Linked DNA regions of Canis lupus familiaris. The protein of the gene in region 3 interacts with the protein of the main gene of each other region in a biochemical or structural test. Links are inferred from orthologs where the notes say so. Each region holds a gene or a part of one and is shown on either strand. Other genes may lie near its edges.

Evidence for each region.
Region 1: the proteins of DLG1 (region 3) and KCNJ4 form a complex in vitro, tested with the Homo sapiens proteins (2 studies listed by BioGRID and IntAct, with this or other methods). The link is inferred for Canis lupus familiaris from reciprocal best matches to the Homo sapiens genes DLG1 and KCNJ4.
Region 2: the proteins of DLG1 (region 3) and CYSLTR2 interact in a test that uses a peptide from one of them, tested with the Homo sapiens proteins (2 studies listed by IntAct, with this or other methods). The link is inferred for Canis lupus familiaris from reciprocal best matches to the Homo sapiens genes DLG1 and CYSLTR2.
Region 4: the proteins of DLG1 (region 3) and ARHGEF26 interact in a test that uses a peptide from one of them, tested with the Homo sapiens proteins (2 studies listed by BioGRID and IntAct, with this or other methods). The link is inferred for Canis lupus familiaris from reciprocal best matches to the Homo sapiens genes DLG1 and ARHGEF26.
Region 5: the proteins of DLG1 (region 3) and IQSEC2 interact in a test that uses a peptide from one of them, tested with the Homo sapiens proteins (2 studies listed by IntAct, with this or other methods). The link is inferred for Canis lupus familiaris from reciprocal best matches to the Homo sapiens genes DLG1 and IQSEC2.
Region 6: the proteins of DLG1 (region 3) and TANC1 interact in a test that uses a peptide from one of them, tested with the Homo sapiens proteins (2 studies listed by IntAct, with this or other methods). The link is inferred for Canis lupus familiaris from reciprocal best matches to the Homo sapiens genes DLG1 and TANC1.
Region 7: the proteins of DLG1 (region 3) and KCNA4 interact in a biophysical measurement, tested with the Homo sapiens proteins (2 studies listed by IntAct, with this or other methods). The link is inferred for Canis lupus familiaris from reciprocal best matches to the Homo sapiens genes DLG1 and KCNA4.

The regions. Positions count from the first base shown.
Region 1 is NC_049231.1:27,345,899-27,350,191, reverse strand, and holds the end of KCNJ4 (inward rectifier potassium channel 4), read right to left. Parts: intron 4,053-4,293; exon of another isoform or gene 3,510-4,052; intron 3,167-3,509; exon of another isoform or gene 2,883-3,166; intron 2,581-2,882; 5' UTR 2,542-2,580; coding exon 1,195-2,541; 3' UTR 630-1,194; downstream 1-629. UniProt on the Homo sapiens protein: Inward rectifier potassium channels are characterized by a greater tendency to allow potassium to flow into the cell rather than out of it.
Region 2 is NC_049243.1:2,926,012-2,930,351, forward strand, and holds the start of CYSLTR2 (cysteinyl leukotriene receptor 2), read right to left. Parts: upstream 2,907-4,340; 5' UTR 2,452-2,906; intron 1-2,451. UniProt on the Homo sapiens protein: Receptor for cysteinyl leukotrienes. The response is mediated via a G-protein that activates a phosphatidylinositol-calcium second messenger system.
Region 3 is NC_049254.1:30,810,972-30,814,648, forward strand, and holds part of DLG1 (disks large homolog 1), read right to left. Parts: intron 3,098-3,677; coding exon 2,928-3,097; intron 1,562-2,927; coding exon 1,425-1,561; intron 1-1,424. UniProt on the Homo sapiens protein: Essential multidomain scaffolding protein required for normal development. Recruits channels, receptors and signaling molecules to discrete plasma membrane domains in polarized cells.
Region 4 is NC_049244.1:48,836,738-48,841,102, reverse strand, and holds the start of ARHGEF26 (rho guanine nucleotide exchange factor 26), read right to left. Parts: upstream 2,948-4,365; coding exon 2,820-2,947; intron 2,519-2,819; coding exon 2,083-2,518; intron 232-2,082; coding exon 192-231; intron 1-191. UniProt on the Homo sapiens protein: Activates RhoG GTPase by promoting the exchange of GDP by GTP. Required for the formation of membrane ruffles during macropinocytosis. Required for the formation of cup-like structures during trans-endothelial migration of leukocytes.
Region 5 is NC_049260.1:45,329,476-45,333,152, forward strand, and holds part of IQSEC2 (IQ motif and SEC7 domain-containing protein 2), read right to left. Parts: coding exon 3,530-3,677; intron 3,048-3,529; coding exon 2,925-3,047; intron 1,934-2,924; coding exon 1,767-1,933; intron 1-1,766. UniProt on the Homo sapiens protein: Is a guanine nucleotide exchange factor for the ARF GTP-binding proteins.
Region 6 is NC_049257.1:5,020,684-5,024,936, reverse strand, and holds the start of TANC1 (protein TANC1), read right to left. Parts: upstream 2,915-4,253; 5' UTR 2,831-2,914; intron 1-2,830. UniProt on the Homo sapiens protein: May be a scaffold component in the postsynaptic density.
Region 7 is NC_049242.1:51,057,441-51,061,554, forward strand, and holds the start of KCNA4 (potassium voltage-gated channel subfamily A member 4), read right to left. Parts: upstream 2,849-4,114; 5' UTR 1,863-2,848; coding exon 1-1,862. UniProt on the Homo sapiens protein: Voltage-gated potassium channel that mediates transmembrane potassium transport in excitable membranes. Forms tetrameric potassium-selective channels through which potassium ions pass in accordance with their electrochemical gradient.

The DNA.
Region 1 (4,293 bases), on a different chromosome or scaffold from region 3:
GCCCAGCCTGGAGTGTGTGCCTGTGTGTAGATGTAACCAGGCAGGCCTTCCCCACTTCCCCCTGGTTACAGAGGGTTAGCTGACATCCACACAGGGCTTTCCTGCCCATCATCTCTCAGGAGGGAGCAGTGGCTCATCCCATTCTACGGATGGTGAAACTGAGGCCAAGAGCAGATGGGCAACTTGCTGGCAGCCATACAGCTGTTAAGTAGCAAAGCCCAGGTCCTCTGAAGCCTGCTGGGGATCTCTCCCATTGGATCCCAGGAAGGAGAATGGCAGGCGGTAAAGTCCCCTCCAAGGGTCAGTGTCTCAGAAAGGGACACATACGTACCACACACAGACACACTCACATCATGTTGGTCTCTCTCTCTCACTCTATCTCTTCTCTTCCGCTTGTCATCTTCAATCAGCCTACCCCTAATGGACCATATACTTTATTAAAAATATATAGTTACAAACTCCATTGTCAATCTGGGCTGGACCCCGGGGATCCGGAGGGACCACAGGGAGGGGATGGTCCTCGTCCTGCCTCTTGGGGCCCCACCTCTGCACCCAAACCCAACACCATCCAGGGGCCAGGATGGCTGGCTTTGGGGACCAGCCAGCTGGGCGGGGGGGGGGGGGGGGGGGGGGGGGAAGGGGCTAGGCTCACTGGGCCGGGAGGGGGAGGGGTTCACAGAGAGGGACCGCACCTCCTCATCCTGCAGGTACAAATGGCAGAAGGTGGATTTGGTGCCTCCATCTCTCCATTTATAGATATTTACAAAAGAAAGTCAAGAGCAACAGGTCACAGTCATGCAAAAGAAACGCACCCCCGCCCTCCCTCCCCCCACACTAACCCCTGCCCACCCCAGAACCCCATGATGCCCACCCCCCAGCAGTCCAGCCGCCTTCCCCAAGGTTCTGAGAGTAAAGGGGGCACGTCCTTGAAGTGTCAGTGGGAAAAGGGTGGTGGGTCTGGGGTCCCCGAGATGCCAGTAGGTAGGCTGACAGGGCAGAGGGGATCCTGGGCCCTTCCCAGGCCTGGGCTCTGGAGTCAATAGGAAGGGGTTCCCCAGTCTTTGAAGCCCCCACCTCCCTCCAGGAGGTCCATGGGGCCAGGGTCAGCTCTGTCCTGAGTGTGGAGGGGGTGTCCTGGCATCCCACCCCCCGGCAGAGGCTCTTGTGGGAAGTGACGAGGGCGGGGCCTGGAGGTCAGATGGCAGACTCCCTGCGGTAGGAGATGTTGTCCAGAGGGAGGGTGGCTTGCATGCGCTCCAGATCCAGGTGGCTGCCAAACTCCAGCATTCGGATGATGCCCGCCTCCTCCTTGGAGCCCGCCTCCAGGCCCAGGCCTGCGGCCACGGCAGCAGCGGCTGCCGCCTCCTCCTCCATCTCCTCTTCCTCCTGGCTCATGAGGGCCAGCTCATTCTCGTAGCAGAAGGCACTGGGCGGGGGCGGCGGGGCAGGCAGCACGGTGATCTTGCTCTCCTGAAGCTCCCGGGCGGAGCAGCAGGGCGTGCCGGCCACCTCGTAGGTCTTGTGGAAGCGCGAGTAGTCCACCTTGTAGTGGCTCTTCTCCTCGAAGACCACGGGCTCGAAGCGGTGGCCCCACAGGATCTCGCTGGCCAGGTAGGAGCTGCGGGCCTGGGTGGTCATGGCGGTGGCCTCCACCATGCCCTCGAGGATGACCACGATCTCAAAGTCCTCCGACTCCAGCTCCTCCTTGCCCATGCCATAGAGCGGGCTGTCCTCGTCGATCTCGTGGACGATGATGATGGGCGACACCAGGAAGATGCGGTCCAGGCCGATGTCGTAGCCCACGTTGAGGTCCCGCTGGTCCAGCGGCAGGTACTCGCCCTCCTGGGTCATGTAGGGCTTGATGAGCTGGGCCCGCACGTGGGCCTCCACGATGTGGCTCTTGCGCAGGTTGCCCACGCGCCACATCAGGCAGAGCTTGCCGTCGCGCACCGAGATGACCGCGTGGTGGCTGAACAGCAGCGTCTGCGCCCGCTTCTTGGGCCGGGCCATCTTGGCCATTATGGTGCCGATCATGAAGGAGTCGATGACGCAGCCCACGATGGACTGGACCACCACGGCGATGACCGCCAGCGGGCACTCCTCCGTCACGCACCGGAACCCGTAGCCGATGGTCGTCTGCGTCTCCACCGAGAACAGGAAGGCGCCCAGGAAGCCGTTCACGTGCATGATGCAGGGCTTGGGGGCCGTCGGGGCCGCCGCGCCACTGCCCGTCGGGGCCCCCGCCGCCGCCGCTGCCGCCGCCGCCGCCGGGCCAGCCTCCAGGTCGCCGTGGAAGAAGGCGATACACCAGAAGAGGAGGCCAAAGAAGAGCCAGGAGACGAGGAAGGCCGCGGAGAAGATCATGAGCATGTAGCGCCAGCGCGTGTCCACGCAGGTGGTGAAGATGTCCGCCATGTAGCGCTGCGACTTGTTGCTCAGGTTGGCGAAGTAGACGTTGCATTGGCCGTTCTTCTTGACGAAGCGGTTGCGGCGTTTCCGCCGGGGCACGTGGGCCTGCCCGTTGCGGCTGTGTCCGTGCATGTCCTGAGGCCGGCGTGGTCACCTGGGAAGACGCAGGGCCTGGGGAGGAGAAGCCCGACAGGTGAGATGCCGGCTCAGAAAGGGAAGGGCCGGGCCTAAGCCGCAGGACCTCCTGGGCCCGGGGACAGAATGTGGCCGGCGGGGTGCTTCCCACCGCGGGACGGAGCGTGGGGGCCCGAGCCGCGCCTCCAAGGGCCAGAAGCCGAGGCCACCGGCTGTCCCCTCTGAGCCTCCATGGCCCCCACCCTGTTTGGGGAGCCTCCCGGTACCCGTCTCGGCTCCACCACCTGCCCCACCTGCCCTGAGCGGAGGGAGCTGTGACCGCTCTGGCCCCTGCTCACCTCCCTGGGTTCAGCCGCTGCCCTCTTGGCTGTCTCTGGGGCTGGCCGTCCTCCCGTGCTGTCGACAGAGCGGCCAACGGCCACCTGCGGCTTTGTGCGTTTACTTAAAATTAAATACAATTTTAACTTCAGTTCTCCCCATTTCAAGCGCTCAGTAGCCACTTGTGGCTAATGGCTCCCATCTCCGACGGAGTTGATACAGAACATTTCCATCATTGTGGAAAGTCCTACGAGACTGTGCTGGGCCCCGTAGCCCCATGTGGGTTCCCGTCCTGTCCCCGGTCCTGTTGGGAACAGAAGTGGGTGAAGACGCCAATGGAAGTGGTTGAGATGGAGGAAGGGGGAGCCCCCACACTTTGGCTCCAATGGAGGCATCGCTAGTCCCACGTCACAGGTGAGGGAGCAGGGCTCAGAGAGGGGAAGTGACCTGCCCAAGGCCACACAGCTAGCTGTTGAGCGAATCCAAACTCAGGTGTGTCTAACCTTCGGTGCCCCCCGCCCCCAGGTGCTGTCAACATCCGTGGGCCCACGTGCGGAGGCGGGGAGGCAGGCACACCCGCTGCCTGGCTGTGACACCTGAGAAGACTCACTTCCCCTCACCTGTAAAATCGGGGGCTCAAAGCCTACCTCGCAGGACCCAGGAGGTAGTAGGTGCTTGGTCAAAGCCAGTCACCCCCCTGCCTTCCTTCGCGCGGCTCCAGAGCAGGAGGGAGCTGGCGAGAGGCAGGGTTTGCCTGTCAGCCTCCTCAGCTGTGTTTCAGTGGGGGCGGCGGGAGCACCAGCTGGGCCCACGGGGGGCAGCCCTCCCCGCACCCCCTCCCCGCCACGGCCCGGGAGGGAGAGGCCCTCGGTGCTGCCCAGGGCCCCAGCCGCTGGCGGGGCTGGGCCGGGGCCTGGGCGCCCGGTAACGTTTTGGCCCAGAATTATATAAGGCTGGAAGTTTCTATTTTCTGTTCTATTCTTCTTCCTGATCTAATTGTGCATCTGTGGCAATGTTTATACACTTCCCCGTTCAGGACAACTCCGTTGCCGCAGCAACCGGTGCGCGCCAACGCTGTAATTTAGAGATCAACAGCCTGGTGCCTGCCTGCGCCTCTTCCCCTCTTCCCGGGAGAGACTCCCTCCCTGGGCCAGGCCTGGGGGGTGAGCCCTGCCCCCCGCCTCCCCCGCCCCCCTCCCGGCTCCTTCCTCCCCCCCTCCGGCTTGTGCTCCCTGGGCCCCGGAGTCCTGCACTGCAGTCCTTCATCCACCGCGTAACGTGGGCAAGTCACTTGGCTGCCGTGAGCCTCGGCTTCTTCATCCGGAAAATAGGACCAGTGAGACCCGTCGGTCTGAAGATCTAACAGACAAACTAGGGGTGTGCAGTGCTGGCCCTTAAGGGGTCCTCAGTTTGGCCGGGAGTCCCAGACCC
Region 2 (4,340 bases), on a different chromosome or scaffold from region 3:
CAAGGCTGGTTGGACAAAATTATTAGAAAAAAATTTTTTAACATTTTCTGTTTTAATCACATGAGTTTAGACTCTTAAATAAACTGGCTATATATAGAAACTAAAAAAAGATAAAACACTGGTCTTGAGTCATAATCTGTGCAGATGTACCTCACACCCTTCCCTTTCATCAGCCCTGTCCTTGCGGTTAACCAACCAGCAGACTCTTCCAGTTACTATGTTAACAGAAGGACAACCAACTTTCCTAGGAAATTTCAAGGGAATGAAGTCATAAAATCAACATCAAGAGGCCCCTGAAGATGTGTTCCTCAGGGTCTGTTACTGTCAAGTCTCTTACTGTTCAGCATTTGGTCAGTGAGCTGATGCCAAAGCTGACCTTCTGTCCACTGTGAGACATGATCCCTGTGACCCCACTTTCACTTTCCCCACTTTCAGGAAGCCACCATATTATTCCAAGTCTATTCTTGGGGGAAAGAAGAAAAGAAGGAAGGAAAAGAGAAGTTAAATATAGCAATAGTCAGAATATTATTTCATTTGCCTTGGGCCTCCTTTTCTAAATTTGGTGGGGTGGTTGACACAAGTCTTGATATATTTTCTGGTTACAATTCTAGTTACCATTATACTTATTATTTCCAAGGAAGACACCACATAGGACAGAGGATGGAAGGAAGGAGAGGGCCTAGGTTCGAAGGCCAGCAATCCCATCCATTAGCATTACGACCATGGGAAAATTACTTTTTCTGTGTTTCAATGGCCTTATCACAAAAAGGTTGTATATACCCCCACTGAATTGTCGTGAGGCTTCGAAGCATTGTCTTGTGTGAAACCCTGAGCACAGTGTCTGGCACATCATAAATACTTAATAAATTTTGGCTGTTGTTATCATAATAATTATAATTATTATCACCTTAAAAAGTATAGGGGCACAGAGTGGGAGTAGGAAGGAATGGAGGGAATGGAGGAACTGGCCACTATCTAGCCTCTCCACCAGAGGTCCTGGAGTTGATGGAGGGCAAAGACAAGGTCCAGCCTGCCCCACAACCAGGGCGTCAGGGGTGGGTAGACCAGAAGGTGCCTGATGAACTCTCATGCTGCATTTTATTGGCTCCGGAGAACACGGAGACATGCGCTAGGCCAAGAGACTCTGGCTTGGCCTGCAGTTCACACATTGGCTAGGAGGTTGTAGAAACACCTAGAGGACAGGCAGGCAGTGTGGGCAGGCTGGAGACTGCCACCCCTTTCTGGTTATCTGGGTCTGGGCAGCCATCATCGTCTCCAGCTGGAAGGGGATGAGCCTTGGTGTGACAGCTTAGTAACTGTCAGGACTCCTTTCTGGGCACAAAGTTATTTCACCTCACCCATGGGAAATTCTGACACACTGTCAGAAATGAGGGGTTGAAGGGCTCCTGACGGGCTCAGTCAGTAGAGCATACAACTCTCGGTATCAGGGTCATGAGTTCAAGCCTCATGTTGGGCATAGAGCTTACTTATTAAAAAAAAAAAGTAGAAATGAGGGATTAGGGGTAATCAAAAGTTAAGAATAGGAAATTGGAGGTAATTTGAGAAATGTATTTCAGAGAAGTGCTTTCCTTGGACGGCTCTACAAAAGGCACAGACGCTTGTGAGGTTAACTAACACGGTGCTCAACATCTCCAAATCCACTCTCGGGCAAACGTGGGTATGAATCTCTACCGTGCCCCTTGGAAGCTGGATACCTCGGAGCTATCTATCCACCTTAAAATTAGGTTTTCCCCATTGTAATAGAAACTGTGAACGGTACCAAGCAATCTCAAAGGGTTATTTTAAGTCATGAATGAAAGAACTTATAAAATAAATCTGGCATGTTGTTGGAGCTCAGTGTTACCTATTTTCGTAAGTGACCAAGTTTCTTTGTCATATCCCTTTCCTACAAAAGATAAGTGACTGAGGATTTTGCCAAGAAGCCTGGCAAATGCTTTACTCTTTCACAGACTTTTTCAGCTCAGGATAACCTCCAGGTTTCCAGCTAAAGCTTTCATGTAAATATTTTCCAAGTACAATGTCGACAGAATGGCCAAGATAAGGAGTTCACCACCCAGATGCCCGTGATTCCCAATTATATCTCCTGCATAGGCCTCTCCCTGAACTACCGTGGATTTTATTATTCAATTTCCCACTCAATATTTTTACTGGATGTCTGAAAGACGTCTTAAATTATACGTGCTCAAAATCAAACACCTGATCTTCATACAGAAGTCTGCTCTTCCCGCAGCCTTTGCCACTTCAATTAATGACATCTGTAATCTTCCAAGTGCTCATATGAAAAAGCTTGAGACATCCTTGATGCCTCGCCTTTTGATTTCCAATAGATCAGAAATAATGTTCACTCTGCTTTCAAAATACATCCCGAGACAGACCACCTCTCACTAGTCTTCTAATACAACTTAGATCCAAGCTAAAAATATCTCTTACCCGTGTTGCTGCCATTGCTCCTTAGCTGGACTTCTTGCTTCCACCCTTGATTCTTTTGGGAGTTGAACTGTGTCCCCAGAAAAGAGAAATTAAAGTCCTAACATCGGTATCTGTAAATGTGACCTTATTTGGATATAAGGTCTTTGCAAACAAATTCCTTCCTTGCTCCTTCCTAGCTCCTGGTGGCAGCATCCATCCTGACATTGTTGGCTTGAAGCTGAAATGCTCCAATCTCTGCCTCCATCTCCACACAGCCTCCTCCTGTGCATGGCTTTTTGTGTGTTAAATCTCCCTCTCCTTTCTCTTATTAGGATGCCAGTCATTGGGTTTGTGTCCCACCTTAAGTCTGGGCTGATGTCATCTCTAGATCTTTAACTTAATTACATCTGCAGAAACCCTATTTCCACATAAAGTCACATTGGCAGGTACCAGGGTTTAGGACGTGGACCTATCTTTTGGAGGATGACACCAGTCAACCTGCTACAGTCACTGAGAAGTGGAAAGGCCGGAACTCAAGCTCAATTCTGATGGCAGCATTCCAATTCCATATTGCCATCCCTAGTGATCCCAAAGGAATTCACATAAGCCACTCTAGACTTGTAACTGGCTTGAGAACAAGTGTCTCTTCAGTCATCTTCTTTTCCTAAGAGAAAAGTTTTATTTTAACTTTCCCACAATGTATCTGGAGTCAGATGGAATGTAGTCTCTGAATCTTTATGAGAGTTTCTTGGGAAATATGTGGAAGATTAGTCCAATGCTAAGCATCTTTGGCACCGTCTGTCTTCTTACTAGATGTTGGAGATGTTCTGAGACAGAGTCCCAGTGCGCACTACAACAGAGCTTCTAGCAACAGCACGTAGGCAAACATTACATTTGTAAAGATGCTCCTCCAAGAAGAGGGTGATTTAGACCTGTCTGTAATGTTTGAATTTTTTAACAATAAGAATGCATTTGGGTTCTGTGTAGCAAAGGATTATTTCAGCACATCTGGGTTGTCTAAACATGTATATTTCCCCAAAATATTTGGCCCTTATTCAAGTTCTAGGAGATAACCTCTAGGTCATTGGAATATCCTACTTAATAAAATTATCTTTGTTTACCTAGGTTTCTTGGGCTATACCAGACAGTTATGCTAACAATGTGACTTATTGAGGGCCTTGGGCCATATGGTATTCCCTTGATCTCTGGAGGGCCTGGGTTAGGTCAACAACATGCTCAGTCATCCATGCATATGTAATCGAACCCCAATAAAATCTCTGGACTCCAAGGCTCAATGAGCTTTCCTTGTTGGTAATACTTTGTGTGTATTGCCACACATCGCTGCCTGAAGAAGTAAGCACACCCCACTGGGATAGGACAACCGGAAGCTTGTGCTAGGTCCCTCCTAGACTTTACCCCAAACGCCTTTTTTCTGTTGTTGATTTTCATCTGTATCCTTTCATTACAATACACACCAAACACAGGAACCATTGCTTAATAAAACTCCATAATTTTTTAAACAGTGCATGGGTCCTTCGACATTCAGTTCTGGCAAACTCCTGTTGAATTATAAACTCCAACACAGTACAGATTGTGCCTTTCTACATTCATCTTTACTCCCACCTCCCCACAATACTCATATGGAGCTTTGCATGTACTAGGTGTTCAGCAGAACAAATGGGGATGACATTGAAGTCTGAGACCAGATTGAAAAATCTCCTATAATCGGAGCTGACTCATGGGCCGTTGGTGAGCTCTGCTATAAATTTTTCTGAATGGAATTCAATTCACACAATGACGATCACCCAAGGTTGAATGATGGGAGCCCTCATTTGATGGTTTTGAATGATAAACTCACCTAAGATGGCTTTCCTCCTTGAATCCTCCGTTCCCTGCCCCTGTGGCTTGGG
Region 3 (3,677 bases):
GCCTCTCTATCACGAATAAATAAATAAATAAATCCTTTAAAAAAAAAAAAGCAATAACCCAACTTACTACTGTATCAGATCTAGTTTATGTGCCTTTTCAGATTTTCTTGAGCCTACATGCCTACTAGGCTTTGGCTGTGTGCTTACTGGAGAGTCCTGGCTACCACTTCTCTCACCTTGTCTCCTACCATTACCAGATCTTTTAATCTTTTCTAGGGTAAGGGCTGCACTTGGCATGACTAATGTGTTACACAGAAATGAGAGCTGTAACACGTCAAAAGCCTGTGTTCTGGTCTGTCTAGATCACTGAAGCTCTGGTTCTTTCCATCACTTCTCAGTTCAGAGGAAATGCTATACCATGGAGTATGGGAGCTGGCTTCCCTAGCATTTGCCCAGAGTAGCTGAGTAACAGTGCAGAAATTAGGGACAGTTACCATTCATGGAATAGACTCTATCTAACAAGAGATAGGGAGACAAATATTTTCTTTTCCCTGGATGGCTGGATCTAAAGTTTAATAGTGTCACATCACCTGACTGGAAGGCTGTCCTATATGTCAATTAGTGACATTTTCTTATGAAATTATAGCCAGCTCAGAAACATAATACCTTGTATTGACTTTCCCCTATTCTCTCCCTCACTTTTCATTTTCATTCACTCTAGCTTCTGAGATTACATCTCCCAATGAAACCTTAGCACGGTACCTTTTCTTCAGATGTTTTTCTAGGGAACATAGACTAGGATCATTATTGATGAAGACTGGATAAATAAACTGCAGTATAGATCTGGAGCTATATTATGTAGAGGTGAAATGAATAAATTTTTAGCTCTAGGCAACAATCTGGATAAATCTCAGTAAACCAATTCTGAGTAAAAAATAAAATTTAAAAGACTACATTCAGCACAACAGCCTTTTTTTTTTTTTTTGTTTTTTTTTCACAACAGCCTTTAAGAACATTTTCAGAACAAATTAATATTAAACAAGATATTTAGGCATAGGTATGTGATTAAACAATTTTTAAAAGCAAATGAATAAAAAACAAGTTGTTGATATTCTAGTTTTGATTTTAGCAGTCTTCATTATACTATAATTAAGTAACAAGAAAAAGAAAGTCACACACAAAGGGTGATACTGTGTTTAAACAATTCTGTGCATCCAACTCCCTAGCCCTTCAACAAAAAAGAGTAGGAAAAGGAAGGAAAAAAAAAAAAAAAGAAAGAAAAGAGAGAGAAGCTAGTAGAGGGGGAACAAAGGGGCAAATAATACCAAGAACCATTTTTCAGGTTTTGATTAAAAATTAGTGTTCATTCATTTAAATATTGTTTAAACATTTTTGGCAAGAAAAATTTCAGTTTTTCCAAAAAAAAAAAAAAAAAAGAGGAGACATGAAAATGATTTTTAAAATAACAGCTTTCTTATACTCACTGCTAAAAGTTTATCTCCAATCTGAAGTTTACCATCTTTATGTGCTGCACCTCCTTCAATTATCTTGGTTACATAGATGCTATTATCCCCAGGAATATGTTGATTTCCAACACCTCCAGCAATGCTGAACCCAAGACCTGTTTGGAAAATACTAGTTTTGAAATTTCATCATTTAAAGTATTTTTAAGTCCAGAAATGGTTGAAAACTAGAAGGTGACAGTCTTATCACACTCATGTTTTTTGGTTTTTTTTTTTAAATACAGACGAATCTATTTGTCTACTTTTTTTTTTTAAAGTAGCCTCCACCCCCAGCATGGGGCCCAGAGGGGGGACTTGAACTTAAAACCCTGAGATCGAGACCTGAGCTGAGATCAAGGGTTGGATGCTCAAGTGACTGAGTCACCCAAGCACACCTATTTGCCTATTTTTTAAGTCTTACGTGTTTACTTTGTAGTCATTGAACAATTTTTTATATAGATGTTCCTACAGTTAGAAATAAGTTCTGTCCTCTCTGCCCAGGTTACTTCTTAAGGTCTGTTTGTAAATGCGTTTGTTAGTTCAAAGAGGCATTACAAAATTATGTTTCAATTTTGTTCCCATCATGATTGTGTTTCTAACACTTTTAATACCTTCATAAGAGTAAAACAATTGAGAAAAATAATAAAATTTTTTGGTAGTAGGCAGAACTAATAGGCTTCACAATGTGGATAATTTTGTTCCTTTTCCAATATTCTATGAATTACTTTTATTTTTTTAAAGATTCACTTATTTATTTTAGAAAGAGAGAAAGTACACATGAGTCAGAGGGATGGGGGGTGGGGGAGGAAAGGGAGAGTATGAGAGGGTCTTAAGCAGCCTCTGTGTGGAGCCTAGAACTTTTTTTGAGCCTAGAGCTTTAAGCCTAGAGTTTGACATGCATGATCACATGACCCTGAAGTCAGGGCCTGAGCTGAAACTAAGAGTTGGAGACTTAACAGACTACCACTCAAGCGCCCCTCTGAATTTTTTAAAGAATTTCTGTAATTCATAAATTCCATAGCTTCAATACTAGACAAATTTGTAGCTTTCTATTCTTTTTTTCATTTGTTGGAATACTACTTCTTCCATAAAGTTACAAATTAGAATAAGTAATTATCCTCAATTCCATCAATGTTTTCAAAACTCAGAAATCAAGTATTAACTGTCCCCATTACAGATGAGGCTAATGACATACTCATAATTACTTCTTTCTTTTAACTTAGCCCGTGTATCTGCATTTAATACATTTTGTAGATTGATGATTACAAGTTAATAGCAACAGTATACATAAGTTCCAAGTGCTAAATAGAATTCTACCTAAGACAAAAATCAGCAGAAATTAAAGAGAAATTCTAAAAATCCACACAAGTTCTGTAGATTACTAGTACTGTTAATCTTAGAATGTGTGTCACTAGTAACTTGATAGTTACATTTATCTCAGTAATTTCTTACTTGATAATCTGTCTTGGTTTCACTATTCCATACCTTTAGGGCCTTTAATAAGCTTTATTTCCATTATTTTTTCTGATACTGGTTTCCGTCTTTTTACATACAAGCGTACGATAGACCCTGCTTCTTTCAATGCTTCAACTGCTTTGCTATGTGTCACATCACGAACATCTACTTCATTTACTCGCAATATACAGTCATTGACCCTGAGAAGAAACCCAAAATATTAAAAATAAAAATTAAATATTAAAATATAAAACTTACACATTGACAATTTTTTGTCATTTTCATTTTTAAAGTAGAGAATTATTTACTATAGAAAATATATACAAAAAAAATATATACAAAGAAACTTCAGGTTAAATTCCACCGTATCAAATAGTCATATAAATAATAAATACAAATATTTCCTGAGGGCCAACCAAATAAACAGTGCAGATAACAGATTACCACACAATAATATTAAATAATAATGATAGCTGTAATTTGTATGGTTCTTGTATGCTAATTATGTGTAAGCATTAAGATAATTACAAAAATAGCAAATATTTATTTAGCACTAACCACATGCCAAGCACTTCTTTGTGTTTTATTATTTTTTTTATTTTTTATTTTTTTAGTGTTTTAACCCTTACGACAACCTGGAGAAAGTAAGGCACAAAGAGTTTAGAATTTTCCTAAGGTCACCCAGATAATGACTGATAGAGCTGTGACTCACAGAAAAGAAAACTGAGGTTCAGATTGAGCAATAAGTTTAAGGTCACAGACACAGTGGTGGCAAAGTGG
Region 4 (4,365 bases), on a different chromosome or scaffold from region 3:
GTTAATTCCATTCACTGCTGGTATTACTGGATGAAAATTTAGCTTAGTGCAGAGCTTTGTACTGTATAATTTGGGAAGAAGTTGGACATTTTTCTCATCTTAAGTGTTTTTGTTACTGCAGTTGGATTTCAACTTATAATTGATATTCCACATTGAAGCAGCAATAAAAGTCTGGAAAATCAAATGCTTACCTTCCCCATCAAATGTTCCTTGTCCTTTCAGCATTTTTTTCTAAGAAACAAGCAAAAAAAAAAAAAAAAAAGAAAAAGAAAAAGCAAAGCAAACTATGTATGAATGAGCCAAATAAAAAAAAATACAGCTATTTTAAGAAAAAGTACTTGTTACATTCATTGGATTTCCAAAAGCATACAGCAGATGATCCCTTGAGTAGTTCACTCATCTGACTACAACCCACTAAAATGGTGAAATAAAATGTACAACCCACTAAACGGTGAAATAAAACGTACAATGTCCCCCACACCCCAGCAAAACAGCTTGAGAATCCTCAAATGACCAGCACTTCAGCTCATTTCACTACTCAGGGTTCACCAATCACTGTTAAATTGAACTCTGCTATACTTGCAGAGGTGAGGGGGTTGGGAGGGGACCCCTAAAATGTTATGTCATTTCTTTAAGGCCATGAGAGCAAAAATAAAATAGCCTGACTTGCGTATTACATATTGACGCTTACACAAACTGTTTCCAGTTCTCTGATTAATCAAGAAAAGTGGTGGCTGCCAAAATGAATTTCTGCTGAGATCTGTCTAAACTGTTCCCAGAGAAAGCGGCACATGCACACTCCAAAATATCCTTCTTTAGTTTTCCCCGTCCCTTCGTCATATTTGGCAGTATTTTAATACGCGCAACTCCCAGGCCTTTATCAGGGAGTAATTAATACACACGGCTCAGTTGAACCTGAAGTTCTGAGCTACCAACTTGTTAAATGCATCCAAGAATAAACGGGCACAGCATGGGCATAAAACACAACCACAGACGGTGGCGAAAGACACCAGCAACAACAGAGATGACAAACTCTCTGTATCTTCTGTAATTCTGGCAAATAACTTTAAAAATCACATTTTGGGGATCCCTGGGTGGCTCAGAGGTTTGGTGCCTGCCTTTGGCCCAGGGTGCGATCCTGGAGCCCCGAGATCGAGTGCCGTGTCGGGCTCCTTGCATGGAGCCTGCCTCTCCCTCTGCCTGTGTCTCTGCCTCTCTCTGTGTCTATCATAAATAAATAAAGTCTTAAAAAAATAATAAAAAAATAAAAATCGCATTTTGCCTGAACGCTATGTAGTATGTTATCAGCACTGACCAAACCATTCTGTAATTGATTCACGTAGATAAGCCGCTTTCAATAAAGTAATCAATACGCTCAAAAGAAATCAGGAGTCAGTCGCCGGTGCCCCTGACAGGTGTCCCTAAGTGACACCTCTGGATGAGCACCAGGTTGAGCACAGGGCCCAGGGCACCGGGGCTGCTCTCCACCCTCTGTTCAGCCCCCTGTATTCAGAGCGTTCAGCACTCAGCCCATACCTGACTCGCTGTATTTCTTTCTTCACATTAGTCCCCCCACGTGTTGCCCTAAAAAGTTACAACAGCACTAAGCGTTTCCCTTCTTCCCACGAAGGTGCATTATTACCCTGGCTGTGACAGCCAGCACTGGGAGGGCCAAGAGGTCGGTGTGCACGGGTCTGACCCACAAAGAGAATTAAAAGAGAAGGATAAGGGATCCCTGGGCGGCTCAGCGGTTTAGCACCTGCCTTCAGCCTAGGGCATGACCTCGGGGTCCTGGGATCGAGTCCCACATTGGGCTCCCTGCATGGAGCCTGCTTCCCCCTCTGCCTGTGTCTCTGCCTCTCTCTCTCTCTCTCTCTGTGTCTCTCATGAATAAATAAATAAATAAAACCTAAAAAAGAAAAAAAAAAAAAAGAGAGAAGGATAGCTTCAGGTTTCCTGCGTGGCCCTGGCCCCCACCGCCAACCCCGTCCAAGACCCTGGCTTCCAGGGGCAGCAGCAGGAGGAGGGTGTGTGTGTAGGGGAGGGGGGAGGGGGGAGGGAGACACACCTGCCTACTCTCACCTTTATCCTTCCCAGGCTGGAAAACCTCTCCTTGTCTTCCATCACCGCTCTGAGCACGGGCTGGGACATCCTGTTCTTCTTCTTGGACGTGGTGGGGCTGTCCAAGTCCAGGCCGCTGACCACGGCGCGGCGGTAGGACGTGGAGCGCAGGCCCCTGCGCAGGGAGCCCGGGCTGCCGGCGTCGTGCTCGGGCTCGGCCTCGTCCTGCGCGTCCTGCGCCCGCAGCCCCTCCACCATGCTGCGCACCTTGAGGAGTCTCCTGTGGGGCTCCCCGTTCTGCAGGGGGGCCTTGCTGGCTCGGACCTCGGAGGCCAGGCTCCTGGGAATGAGCTGCTGCTTGCCCACCTTGAGCGCGGCGGGGCTGTTGGTGCTCAGCACCACGCAGGGGCCCCCCGGGGGCGCGCCGTCCTGGGCCGGCCGCCGCGGCGGGGGCGCCCTGCGCTCGGGGGACCGGCTCTGGGGCGCGGCGGGGGCCCCCGGGGGGCGCGGGGCGGGCCCCTGGGCCGGGGGCGGGGGCGGGGGGCTGCAGGGCGAGCTGGCGGTGCGCGGGGGGCGCGCGGGCCCTGGCGGCCTCGGGGAGCCGGCTCCGAGGTTCCGGCGCAGCGTCCTCCCGTCGGGCACCGGCCCCTTTCGCTGCACTGGGGCGCTTCCCTCCCTTGCTGTCCCTCGTGCTCCCGGAGGCCTCTTTTTTTTTCTTTTGTGGTTCTCCTCCCCTTTCCTCCTCTTTTCCTTCTTGCGTCGCGGGCGCCGGGCTCTGGCAGGCTGCGGCCGCGCTTGCTCCGGGCCGCGGCGGCGGCCGAGGGGTGGAGCGCCTCCGCACAGCGGGGTCAGGCTGCCGGGAAGTCCACGCGGCTCTCGCGTCCATAGCGGGGTCGCCGGGGCGCGGTCGGTCGGGCTCGCCTGGGCGGGAAAGAGAGCGTGGAGCCCGCGCGCCCCCCGGCGGGGGCAGGGCAGGGCGGGCAGGGCAGGGGCAGGGCAGGGCAGGCAGCCCCCCCCCCACCCCCCAGGAGCCGCCACCCGCCGCGGGCTGCCAGCCGATGCTCCGGGCGCCCGCGCCCCTCCAGCCGCCCCGGGCCCCCGGGGTCCCCCGCGCCCCGACCGGCCGCTGTACCTCCGCGGCTCCGCGGCGCCCAGGGCCCACGAGCATCCCCGCCCTCGGGGCCGGGGTCGCGCCCAGTCGCCGCAGCCGCAGCCGCAGCCCCGCCGAGCTCGCCGGCCGCCCGCTGCCCCGCGGCCCCGCCCCGCCCCCCGCCCCCGCCCCCGCCCCGCCGCGCGGCCCCGCCCCCGCCCCGCCCCCGCCCCGGCCGCCCGCGGGCTGGGTGCCGGCTCGGGGCTCCGCGCGGGGAGCCGGGGCGCAGCGTGGGAACCAGCGTGGGAGCGCGGCCGCTTGCAACTTAGAGAGCCCCGGGGCGGGCCTGCGGGTGACAGCCGGGCCTCGCCGCGCTCCCGGGGCCTGCGAACTCGCGTGTGCGGGCCCCGCTGCCCCCGCGGGCCACGGCCCGGCCGTAGCGGAGCTCCCGAGGGTGGGGGGGGCGCTGCGTGCGAGGAAACGGAGGCCAGCGGGCGTTTGCGTTCAGGGATTTGGGATATCTTAGGCTTTGCCGGGGTGGGGGGGGGGTGTTTGTGTGTGTGTGTGTGTGTGTGTGTGTGTGTGTGTTTAGAGAAGGGAAAGGGCAGAGAGACTGAGAATCTTACACTACACCCCCCGCTATGGGGCTGGATCCCAGGACTCAGCTCCATCCCGACCTCCGGAGGAAAAGAGGAACCATCCAGGTGCCCAGAATAGTTTATGCTTTTTTTGTTGTTGTTGTTGAAGATTTTTATTTATTCATGAGAGAGAGAAAGAGAGAGGCAGACACCCAGGCAGAGGGAGAAGCAGGCTCCATGCAGAAAGCCCGATGTGGGACTCGATCCTAGGTCTCCAGGATCACACCCTGGGCCGAAGGCAGGTGCTAAAGCGCTGGGCCACCCGGGCTGCCCATATTTTATGCTTTGAATCCTGAATTTTACCAATCAAAGATAAATGTAACTAAAATGTATATGTACATGTGCTTCTAAGCAGACATCGAATAAAAGTTCAAAGTCCTCCGTAACTTACAAGGCCTTGCACAACCTGCCTACCTCTGCAGCAGTCTTTTCTCCCAATACTTTATCCTTCATTTTTTTTCTTAGGCCACAGCCGCCTTTAAGTTTGACCACCCTAGAACCTGCCCTTGTGTTTCTCCTTGACCTTCTGACAGGTTACCCCATCAAAGACGACTTCCCTGAGCCCTCCAGAATCAG
Region 5 (3,677 bases), on a different chromosome or scaffold from region 3:
TTCACAGCTTAACTGTGATCTTAACTGTATAAAAAGTTACATATGCTGAGGGGGAAAAAAGACTAGAAAACAGCAAAATATCAACCATGGCTGCCTCTAGGCAGCAGAATTCAGGACAATTAAACAAATTTTTTCTCATTTGCTCTATTTCCAAAATTTCTGGGCATGAGCAAGTATTCATTTCGCTTGTTTATTTATTTAATAATTGGAGGGGGAAAGATATACACATACATAATACATATATATATATAAATGTATGTACAAATATATGTATATGCACACATATACATAGAGAGGAAGTACCTCCTCTCCAAATACATATACACATATACAATAATACATGCACACACGTATATATACACATATATGTATGCACACACATGTGTATGCATGTAACCATATGTATGCACACATACACATATACATACAGAGGAGGAGGGAGGGAGAAAGAAAGGGGAGAATGAGTGAATGAACAAATGACTAACAGCAGGAGTCTGGAAGACAGCTCCAGATGGCCTCTGATCTAACTCCCTCCCCCCGAGTCTACCATCCTTCTCCACTCCTGTCTGCTGAGTGAAACCCACTCACTCTTCCCCCTAAATCTTCTGCTAGAGAAACTGTATTCTCCTTTGGAAATGCCACATCTCCTCCTTGGACAGGTGCTAAGGGAACATCCTTCATCACATCATCTTTTTATCTCAGCTGCCAGAGAGCTTAAGCCCAGCAACCGTGCAAAGCCTGTCGGTCAGCCAATTTGTCTCATCTGTTTGTTTTTCCTCAAATCTATTGCTCTCTTTCATTTCTGTTTAAATAATACTAACATCTGTGCCGCTTTTAGTAGGCTGCTCTTTAGTGAGATGACAGGCTTGATATCAACACAATAAACCAAGAAAAAAGGTCAAGGTGACACCTTTCACCTCGCATTTGAGGCCCTCATATATTGATTCCAACTGACCTTTCTGACTAGGTCGTCCACCCCATCTTAATTGTTCTCCCAACAACTTTTCCTACCTCTGTGCCTTTTTATTCTTACTGCTAGGTAAGCCTCCTCTGTTGCTATTCTGTCACATTGTCACATTGTCTATGCCTTGAAGGTCAATCTTAAAAATGAAAATTCTACTTCCTCCAGGAAGTGTATTGAAGGTGGGCTCTCCTACCTCTGAGCTCTGACTGCACTTTCGGCCTATCTGACATCATGATTCACTTATTTATTCTCTTGTGTTGGGTATCTGGTACTATAAGTCAGTCCCACAAACCGGGAGCTCTCTCGGGGCAGGGGCTACGGTGTCCTAAGTCCCCATTGCAGGGCCGGGCACACATGAGGCATTCAGTGTTGGTTGGCTGGCCGTCTGGCTGGCTGATCAAGGGAATCAATAAATGTATGGATGGAGAAGGAGCACAGAGCATAATTAAATGAGCCTTTATGAGCATAAATAAAGAGGAGAGGGGAAGAGGGAGTGATGCGTCAATGCCTGGGTGGATTAGAATAAGCTCTGTAAGAGCCAGGACTTTCATCTCTCACATCCACTGTTGTAACCCCAGAACCCACTCAGTCAGTGTTCAGTGCAGGAATGAGTGGATGGACAAGTATTTGAGTGAATTAATAAGGGAATATGGCAGCTTTGGAGGAAATCAGAGAACATCACAGGTTAATATCCAGGGAGCCTATATGATCTCCCTCCTCCTTCCCCAGCCCACTCCCACCCTGCCCACTCTCCCTTCCAAAGGGAAGGACAGGACAAGCCAACAGGGGGACCTGGGGTCACCTCTCAGGTTCTTGATGAAGTCATCTAGTTTCATCTTGCGTTCAGCCTTGACGCTGGGACTGTACATGTCAGTATTGAGAAGAATGATAGCAAAAGCAAGGATGAAGATGGTGTCTGGATTCCGGAACTGGCGCACGAGGGCTGGGTTACACACACAGTATCGTTGGCTGCAGGGCAGGATCAGGGCCAGGGTCAGGCACCAGTAATCTTCACCTACCCACCATTGCCCCTCTGTCCTGAGTCTGGTGCCACCAACCCTCTCCCCCAAGAAATACTCCCAAGCCTTTTGGGTACAACCTCTTTCTTCAGTTTCCCCAACACTAGTGTGTAAAAATCACAACCACTACCTCTTCGGAGCTCTGCTAGGGGACTTAGGTACCTTGTGTCATGTAATCCTATCAGAATTCTACAAAGTAGCTATTAGCAGCCCCATGTGACAGAGGAAGTAATGAGGCCCAAAGTGAAGAGGTATCTTTCTCAGGGTAATAGAGCTGGTAAATGGTGAAGACAAGATGAAAATCCAGATCTTTCTAACAAGTCAAATCCTTCTCCCATTATGGGCAACAAGTTCTTAGGAATTCTTCTGTTTCTCTGCTAAATACCCCAAAGTGATGGGGCCAGGATTTCTATCCAGGTCTGCCTAATCCCCAAAGCATTAACTCTACTAAGTTAAGGGCATCTGGTCATGAAAGCAAACACCCTTGAGTTCAAGTCCTGGCTCTGCCTCTTACTCACTTTATGACCCTGAGCAAGTTACTTAACCTCTCTAAATTTCTGATTTCTTATCTGCAGCATGGGAATCACAATAAAAGCACCTACCTCACAGGGTTGTTGTGAGCATCCAGAGAAATAATTGTGTAAAGTGCCCAGCTTAGCACCTGATACCTGGTAAGTGCTCAACAAATATTAGCTGTGGCTGCTGTTGTCACCTATTGGATGCCCACGTCCCAGATGCTGAACCAAACACTTTAGGCACGCTACCTCTGATCCTCACAACTGCACAACTGCCTGGCAAGGTAGGATTTATCATTTCCATTTTCTGGTGAGGAAAGTAGGAGGCCCAGAGAGGTAACTTGGAGATGCATACTGTACTGACCCCTCTCCCCATCCCCATCCCACCCCCAATCTTGCTTGGGGAGAGTGGGGAAACAGGCACACCTGAAGGCTTCAATGAGTCGCTCCACTTTCTGGGCCTCGCCTTGAACCCGGATGTGGGACTGGAACTTTCGGAGTGCATCATCCAAATCCATGGAGGAGAAGTCCATCTCATCCACCACACAGCTGAGAAACACAGAAGTGGGTATGGCACTCTCAAGTCCTCTGCAGAAAACCTCTGACCTACCCTGACCTGCCTAAATGGACGGACACCCCCACTGACAAGACTTCCAAAATCTGGACCCATGGTCCCTAGCAGGTCCTTATGAGGAAGGAATGTTCGAAATGGAATCCACCCCCAAAAAGTCAGGGCCAGACTACATGGTTACTCGGGGTCCTTTCCACTGACCCACTCATTTCAGAGACAGGAAAATGGGGGCCCAAAGCAGGGCAGGGGATAAGCCGGGCCACCCAGAAAGACTTTTGGGCATAGAGCCAAGAGAGATGAGAGCTTTTGTGAAGTACAGGGGTACGGGAACAGGAAAGTCTCTTCATCCTGTTTTGTCAAGCTCATCTGAGCACAACAGACCAACTGCCCACTTCCTCCCTCCTGCCCTCCTTTTCCAGGAAGCCCCAGCCCAGTCTCTGCCCCTTCCTGGGGTCCTCACTCCAACACATCTCTGTTGAACTGCTTCTGCCGGTTCCCTAGGAATTCCCCTATCATCTGCCGGCTCAGGCCTTTCCGCTCCAGGATAAAGTGAGCCACTCCCACCGGTGTGTCTGACAGGAAGCCCCGCTCGATCAGATACTGGATAC
Region 6 (4,253 bases), on a different chromosome or scaffold from region 3:
TAGATGTTAACCCTGGGGTTCTGAAACCAGAAGAACCCATAAATGAAATACTATAAGAAACTGCCACATATTAGCATTAGTCTGTTTGTCAAGTCTTAGCCAATCCTCAGGTGACTCCATAAATAAAGGGAGAGGGGATAAGGAGAATGAGCAGATCCAGGTACAAGTCCAACTCCACCACTTATAGATGAAACCCAGCAAACTGATCTAAATGGCTCAGCCTCAGTTTACTAACCTGAGAATTAAGGGTTAAAATACATAGGTAAAGCCCTTTGTAAACCCCAAAGCACTGTGCTAATAGTAGGCATTCTGCAACCTGTGCTTAAGCACATTTCTCCAAGTCTTAGAGAAGTTTAGTGTTGAAAGATAATCCCATTTTAGAGATGATGATGATGAAAAAAACAGAAAGGTGTTAGAGCCTTGTATACAAAACACTTTGTAAACTGGTTGGGGGGAGGTTCTAATTTTCCACCACTGAAATACACATTTAAAAGACAGTCAGGGATCCCTGGGTGGCTCAGCAGTTTAGAGCCTGCCTTCGGCCCAGGGCCTGATCCTGGAGTCCCAGGATCGAGTCCCACATCAGGCTCCCTGCATAGAGCCTGCTTCTCCCTCTGCCTGTGTCTCTGCCTCTCTCTCTCTCTGTGTCTCTCATGAATAAGGAAATAAAATATTTAAAAAATAAAATAAAATAAAAGACAAAGTTATCCTAGAGACTAAAATCCCTCTCCACCAACACACACACACACATCCTCTGCTTCATTTTGAATTTGTAAATTTTACTCCTGTAACTAAACTAAACTTTTCATCAGAAAAATTAAAATAAAGCCACTTCTCTGACCGTGAGGTTCACAGCCTACCCTCAATCCAACCTAGGCAAAACCTTCAGGATCCGGTTGGAAATGTCTAAAGGAAACATTGACATAACATTAACCTCCAGCTGTGCTGGCAGGCGTCATTATAACGTGGATTATAGTTATATCAGCCCAGGGATACTGGTTTGATAAAGAATTAATCAGCAACTCTGAGGGGGAATGTTGCCTAAAAACGGACAATTTAATCAAGACAATTTCATTGTCTTCAAAATTGTGCCCTCAATCATCCAGCATCAAAAACCCAGTATGGCACCAAATAAATGGTGTGTGGTGAAAAAGACAAAATGTTCTTTTTTCTACAGGCTCTTATGGGAAGCAGAAAAGGGCTGACTATGAATCAGTTATGCTTTAGTTCCACGATGGACATAAATTATGATAATTTGGACATTCTGGTGGTTAAACCAAGAAAGCAGAAAAACACTGCTTCCAAGTCCCAGCAAAAGTTAAAAGTTTGTGGCATCACAGCTAGAGAGACAGGGTCATGAAAAAGTAGCCTTACATTTATTTCTGGACTTTCCTGCCTCCACTAAAATGGATGACACGATTTCCCATCCCTTATTGTCAGATCACAACAGTCCGGAAGCCTGGACCAAGTTCACTTGGCAGGTAAGAGGAGCAGCGCCAGGAGGAAGTCCTGAAGGATGTCAGATACCGCATTTCCTTTACTCCTGCACACTTTTCATCTCAATTCCACCAGGATCCGTGCACCGGGAGTCCTGACACCCGCCCTGCGCCGTGGCTGACAAACCGCAGAAACCGGCATCCTCTCGGGAAGGTCCCCCGTGAACCTCTAAGTACATTAGAGGAGCGAGCGGAACACCCAGGCGGGCTCCGCATCCACCGTCTCTCCGTCGCTCATACACTCCCCGGTTTCAGCATCCAAGAAGCAGCTGTTAAAATCCAGCACTCTTCGCGGTAGCAGATCTGAACCGCCTCGGAGGGCCGGAGAGCTCCCCCCCGCCCCCAGGAGTGCCAGCCTGGCGGGAATAACCGTGACGGGGGGGGGGGGGGGGGGGCTGGAGAGATGCAGACTCCCCTCATTTCCACTACAGAGGAATGCCAACTCTCAAAAAAGAAAAGAAAAAAAATCCCACCAACTCTGAGCCCAGCTCCCGGGTTGCTCCTGCGCTCTCAGCCCCTCCGCCTCCTCACTCGAGCGCACTCGCAGCCCCAGGCCCGAGGTCGAGGTCGAGGTCGAGGCCCGCGGCTGGGTCCGACCCGCCCCGACCTGGGGACCCGCCGACGGCGCTGCTCTGGGGTCAAGTTCAGGAGGAGGGCGGCGCCCTCGCTCCCCGGCTGAGCCCCGCGGGACCGCGCTTCCGACGCGCCCCGAGGCCCCGCGGCGCCCACCCGGGCCGCCCCCGCCGCCGCCCCCGCCGCGCGCCCTCCCGCCGCCGCGCCGAGCCGAGGAAGTTCGCGGCGGCTGCGACCCGGAGCCACACAATGCCTGGGGCTTCCTCCGCGGCCGGGCGTCCGGAAGGCGGCCGCGCCCGGCGGGCCCCAGCCGCGCGCCCCGCGCCCCCGCCCCAAGCCTCCCCGGACGCGCGAGCGGCCCCCGAGCGCCCCGAGGGCCCCTGCGCCCTGTGCGGGGACCCGGGAGCCGCGGCCCCCCGGCGAGCCTCGCCCCTCCCGCGCCCCTCCCCGACATCGCGGAGCCCCGGAAGCCCCGGCGCCCCCACCCCGCGGGCCACGCGCCCCCGCCCGCCTCCCGGGGCCCCTCCACCCGCGGGGCCGAGCCCGGGCGCCCGACGTGCCCAAGCCCGTCCCCGACGGCTCCCGGGAGCGCCGGCGCGGAGGAGGGCGGCCGGGCGGGCTCCAGAAACTTTCGCACTTGCCTCGCCGCCGGCCGCGTCGCCCCCTCCTCCCGCGCGGACCCCTCGCCCCGGGGCGCGGCTGCAGCGGGCCCCGCCCGGACCCAGCGAAGCCGGCGGCGGCGCCAGGGCGGCGGGAGTTACCTGCCGGGAAAGTTTCCAGCCCCGCGGCGCGGCTCCCGCCAGCGCCCGGCCTCGGTGCGCCGCCGCCTCTCGGCTCCCGGCGCCCCGCCCCGCCCGCCCGCCCCCGGGCCCGCCCGCCCCCGGGCCCGCCCCCGGGCCTCATTGGCAGCGCCAGGCCCCGCCCCGCGCGTGTTCCCGAGGCACCTTCCCCGCGCGCCCGCCCCGCCCCCGGGGCCCGACCTGCCGAGCGGTCCGGCGGCCCCGCGGCCCCGCGGCCTCGCAGCCCCGCAGCCCCGCAGCCCCCCGCGCTCCGCAGACGGCCGGGGAGGGCGGGCGGGAGCGAGCCGCGGAGCGCAGTCTGTGCGGCCCCCCGGCTTCCCTCCGCCCGCCCCACGCGCCCGCGCGGCCGCCCACTCTCGGGGGCTCGGGCGAGCTCAGGGAGCCGCGCGGCGCAGGAGGCATCTCCCCGCGCCTCTCCGGTGCCCGGGCGGGGCGGGGCGGGGCGGGGGGGGCGCGCCCCCTGGCGCTGGGGCTGCCCGGCCGTCCGGCTGCTCCGCGGGGCCCGCCGCGCGCTCCTGTCGGCGGGAGGAGGGAGCCCGGGAGGGGGAGAAACAAAGATGTTATTATTGCTTCGGTCGGGAGCAGTAAACTAAATGCCCAAGTTCCCAAAATGTCTTATTTCCCAGCAGAGCAAAAGCCAGGACGGGGCTCACCGGCACCCCGCAGGCTCCCAGGCGGTGCATTCAAGCCCGGGGCGGGGGGGGGGGGGGGTCGGCCCCCTCCACACCGGAGGCTGCGGGACCAGCCTCGGTCACCCAGAGAGCAGGCAGGACTGACTGCTGCTGCCGTGTGTGGCCTTCGGAAACTGTACGGGTCACCCCGGTGGTGTGTCTGGAGCTGGGAATACAGAAGTTGCTATAAATGGATTTATTGGCAACCCCTAACCTTGCTATAGCAAGCCCGCCTTTAACTGTGTTTTAAACAAGTTCCCCATAAAAATTTCAACCTCATGCAGAGCTTCCCAATATAAAGATACCCCCGGAGGGGAGTGTCTCTAGTTAGAGCTCTTTACGAAAAGGGACAGAACGCAAAATGCCACACATCCTTTCTACTAAAGGAAAGACAACTGAAATTCGCTGGATTTTCACCCATAGTTTCAAAGGCCTGATTATTATTGTGCTGATATTTGAGCAGTAAACATAGCAGCCGCCTTGAAGTCTTCCTCAAACTAGAATAGGAATATTCATAAAATATAAACTTATTAAACTGAAAAGTATTGACCTATTTCTTCACTCTGAAACGTCTCATTGCTGAAAAATATGGTGGTATGTTTTAATTTTTCTTGAAATGAAATGCATAAGTTACCAATCTTTCAACAACAGATGAAAAGGCAGACAGCAACCTTAAAAATAAAAGAATGACACAAACAAAAAAAATTCCACAA
Region 7 (4,114 bases), on a different chromosome or scaffold from region 3:
TTGTCCCCCAGGGAGGAAGAAGTAGAGCTCCGAAATTTCTTCAGCAAATTAGAGGGGAGGTACGGGCAACTGACCGCATTCTGTGTCAGCTGCGTCTGCTCCTCATTCTCAGTCTCTCTGTGGTAGAAATAGTTAAAGTTAGAGACAATCACTGGCACTGGCAAAGCGATGGTTAAGACACCTGCGATGGCACACAGGGACCCCACGATCTTGCCCCCCACGGTGATGGGCTTCATGTCCCCGTAGCCCACAGTCGTCATGGTCACCACGGCCCACCAAAACGCATCTGGGATGCTCTGGAAATGGGTGGTGGGCTCATCGGCCTCCGCGAAGTACACGGCGCTGGAGAAGAGGATGACCCCGATGAAGAGGAAGAAGATCAGAAGGCCCAGCTCCCGCATGCTGGCTCGGAGCGTGTGGCCCAGGATCTGCAGGCCCTTGGAGTGCCTGGACAGCTTGAAGATCCGGAACACGCGGACCAGACGGATGATCCTGAGGATGGCAAAGGACATGGCCTGCTGCTGCTGCCCGTTGCCGCCCCCCTGGTGCTGGGCCAGATCGGTGCCCAGCGTGATGAAGTAAGGCAAAATGGAGACAATGTCAATGATGTTCATGATGTTTTTGAAGAAGAGCGCTTGGCTGGGACAAGCGAAGCAGCGAACCACGAACTCGAAGGAGAACCAGACGATACAGACGGTCTCCACGATGAAGAAGGGGTCGTTGAAGATGGTGTGCCCTGAGTTCTCTAGGTGGGGCGCCGAGGAGTCGTTCAGCGACCCGCCGTGTCCGCCCGCGCCCAGTGCCATGATGAGGTCCCTGTCGTCCCGGAACTCGGGCAGGGTTTCCAGGCAGAAGATGACGATGGAGATCAAGATGACCAGGACGGACACGATGGCGATGCCCCTGGCCGGGCTGGAGCTCTCCGGGTACTCGAAGAGGAGCCAGATCTGCTTTTTAAACTCGTTCTCCGGCAGGGCCCGGTCCTCCTCCTCCCGCACAAAGCCCTCGTCCTCCCGGAACTTGAGCAGGGCCTCCTCTCCCAGCTGGTAGAACTTCACCTCCTCCGTGAAGATGTCGAAGGGCACGTTGACCGGCCTCTTGAGGCGGCCGCCCGACTGGTAGTAGTACAGGATGGCGTCGAAGCTCGGCCGGTTCCTGTCGAAGAAATACTCGTTTCGCAGCGGGTCAAAGTACTGCGTCCTCTTCTCGGGGTCGCCCAGCAAGGTGTCGGGAAACTGGGCCAGGGTCTTCATCTGGGTCTCGAAGCGCAGGCCCGACACGTTGATGACCACCCGCTCGCAGCAGCCGCTGGGCCGGCCCGGGCCGTAGGCGCCGTCGTCCCGGGGCAGCAGGTCGCTGCAGGAGCCGTGGGCCGCGCGGTCGTCCTGGCCGCGGCCCAACCGGGCCTCCTCCTCGGCGTCCTCGTCGTCCTCGTCGTCCTCGTCCTCGTCGCTCAGCTCCCTCAGGATCCTCTCCTCCGAGCCGCTGGGCAGCAGGTCCGAGCCGTGCGGGAAGCCGCCGGGCCGCGGCTGAGGCCTCCTCCGGTTGGGCCGCGAGCGCCGGCGCCTCCGGGCCACACGGCCGCCCTGGGGCTCGAGTGCGGGGCAGGTGCCGCGGGGCTGCTGCTGCTGCAGCTGCTGCTGCTGGTGCTGCTGATGCTGCTGGTGCTGCTGGTGCGCGCCGCCCCCGGGGCCCCCAACGCCCTCCGCGGCCGCGGCCGTGGCCGCCGCCACCGCCGCGGCCGCCGCGGCCCTCGACTGGGCCAGCCGCTCCCGCTCCCGGGCCCGGGCCTGCGCCGCGTAGCCGTAGGGCATGTGGCTGTTGCAGCCCGAGCTCTCGGCGCTCACCATCGCGACCTCCATGGCCGCGGGAGGCGGGCGACGGAAAGTGGGGCAGCTCCCCGCCTCACCACACTAAGGTAAGTTTGGAACCGTTCAGCAGATTGCTCGGAAGACTGAGGATATTTTCAGTCCAACTTTGCATTTTCCGTTTTTAAACCAGCACGCCCCATGCTCTCGGTTCCCAGGGACGAGCGCTGCTCTCCAGGCCCGGCCCGTCCGGGTAGCGCGCGCCGGGCCCAAGTCCCCGCCGGGGCCCCCAGCGCCCGGGGCCCAGGCGCAGTCTGGAAGCGCGGCCCCAACTGGCCACCGCCGCCGCCCGGGATTCAAAGGCCGCGGCTATCTGACGGCCAGCACTTGTGCCTGGAAAACGGAATGGATTTTTCTGCCATGGAAATCGTCCAAAGCTCGGTCCATCAGATTTAAATAAAATGCAAATAAGCCTTTAGTCTTAGCACTTGCCTTCTCGTGACGGCTTGACCCGAGCGGGCGAGCGGCTGGAAGCGCGTCGGGCCATCGCCGCCCAGAGCCCGCGGCCGCTCCCTGGGTTCAGCACAGGCCTCCGGGGCGCGGGGCCCGGGCCGAGCTCGCGACACAGGCGAACAGCTTGGGAGGTAGAGAAGGTACGAGGCGAGGTGTCAGCGGGGGCCAACCCGGCTCGGAGGTCTCCATGGAAAGCCAGGGAGCGCAGAGCATCCTTCAGCTGCGGCGGCGCAGAAGCAGCACTCCACCTGAAAAAGGAAGGGAACAAGCATGGGAGCAGAGTAAAAAGCATCGACGCGTAAAGAGCCGACGGCGCCTCCTTCCCAGACCCCGCTCTTCTGGGCCTCAAGCAAGCAAGGCACCCGAAGCCCCGAGGGACCACCGCAGCCGGTTACGTCTCCTCCTCACCCAACCACCCTCCTGCCCTCTTCTTTGGTTCTGATTCCCGCTCGGGCTATTTTCATGGCAACTCAATTATTTCTCCTCTCTCCACTCCACCCACGTGGCCGTCCCTTTCGCTCATGCCAGGTCTTAACTCTCGCGGTCACTCTCTTCCTTCCACGACAACGACGCGGTCACCTTACAACTGCTTCCATCATTCATTGATCTCAAGGCATAGGTTTTCTTTTTTTTTTTTTTTTTTCTGAATTTCCACTCATCAAATACTTCTGAATTTAGTGCCTCTCCACCCCTCTCTGTCTTGATTCAGGATCAGGGCCGCTGGAGGAACCGGCCTGCTTTCACCCAGGCTCCACGGCTTCCACAAGCCTCAGTCTCCTCACCTACGAAGTGCAGGGCACATGGAACCTCCCCCGTCTCTTGGTGAGGACCGACGGAGACGGTGAACGCTGCCAGCAGAGCACAGACATCATGCACGTCCATCATGCTGCCGGCTCTGAACAGGGCGACAGTGACCTCGGCCTCTGCTGTCTGGTACTCACCCCAAACCCCTATGTCCATGCACCACAGTCTCAGTTAGGGGGAGGACAGAAGTGAGGACACGGGGGCCTTCGGAGACTCCCCAGCGGCCTGTCTTAGGTTGGCACTTCCTGCCGCCCTGAAGCATGTCCCTGTTGTTGTTTTTCTGTTCCCCAGACTCCAGAACACTCCCTACCACCCACAGCCTAGGAGCTAATCCCAGTTTCTACTTCTCTGATAATCATCTTTTTTTTTTTTTTTTTTTTTCCTCCTCGCGGTTCCTCCATGTTCACCTCAATGCTTCCTCCTACATCTTCTCAGGGGACTATCTCCTTATGTTTAAAATCCCAGTTTGTGCGGATTTTATCCTCCACCCATCAGACATTCCCCTCATAATTTCATCCATCATCTCCCGTCTCCCGGACCCACCCCGGCCGGCTCCCTTGCCTCTCTCTGCCCACTTCTGTTTCCGATCTGCCACTTGCTGATCGCATCTTCCTCGCAGCCCCGATCTGGCTCCTCTGTCACCTGGAATTCCTGGCCTCTCTTCTAGGTCGGCTCCCTCCAGGTCCAGCTAATTCACGTCCTCAGCAGGACCTGGAAAGACTGCCCTGGTCTTCTGTCTCCTATGCTTTTGCATTCAGTGGGTCCGACAGGACTCCCGAGAACGCAGGGTGGCCCCGAGAGCTGGGGAGGATCACGACAGTCAGAATTCAGGGCATCCACCAGTTTCTATTACTGGAAGCACTTGGGGAGCACAGGAGAAATGGCTTTCTGGAGCCATTAGCAGGATTCAGCGCTTGACCACCTGCTGCTCCAGGCTGAATCCTGTCGGCCTCGGAGCCTAAACCCACCCGAGTTTTACGAAGTGACAG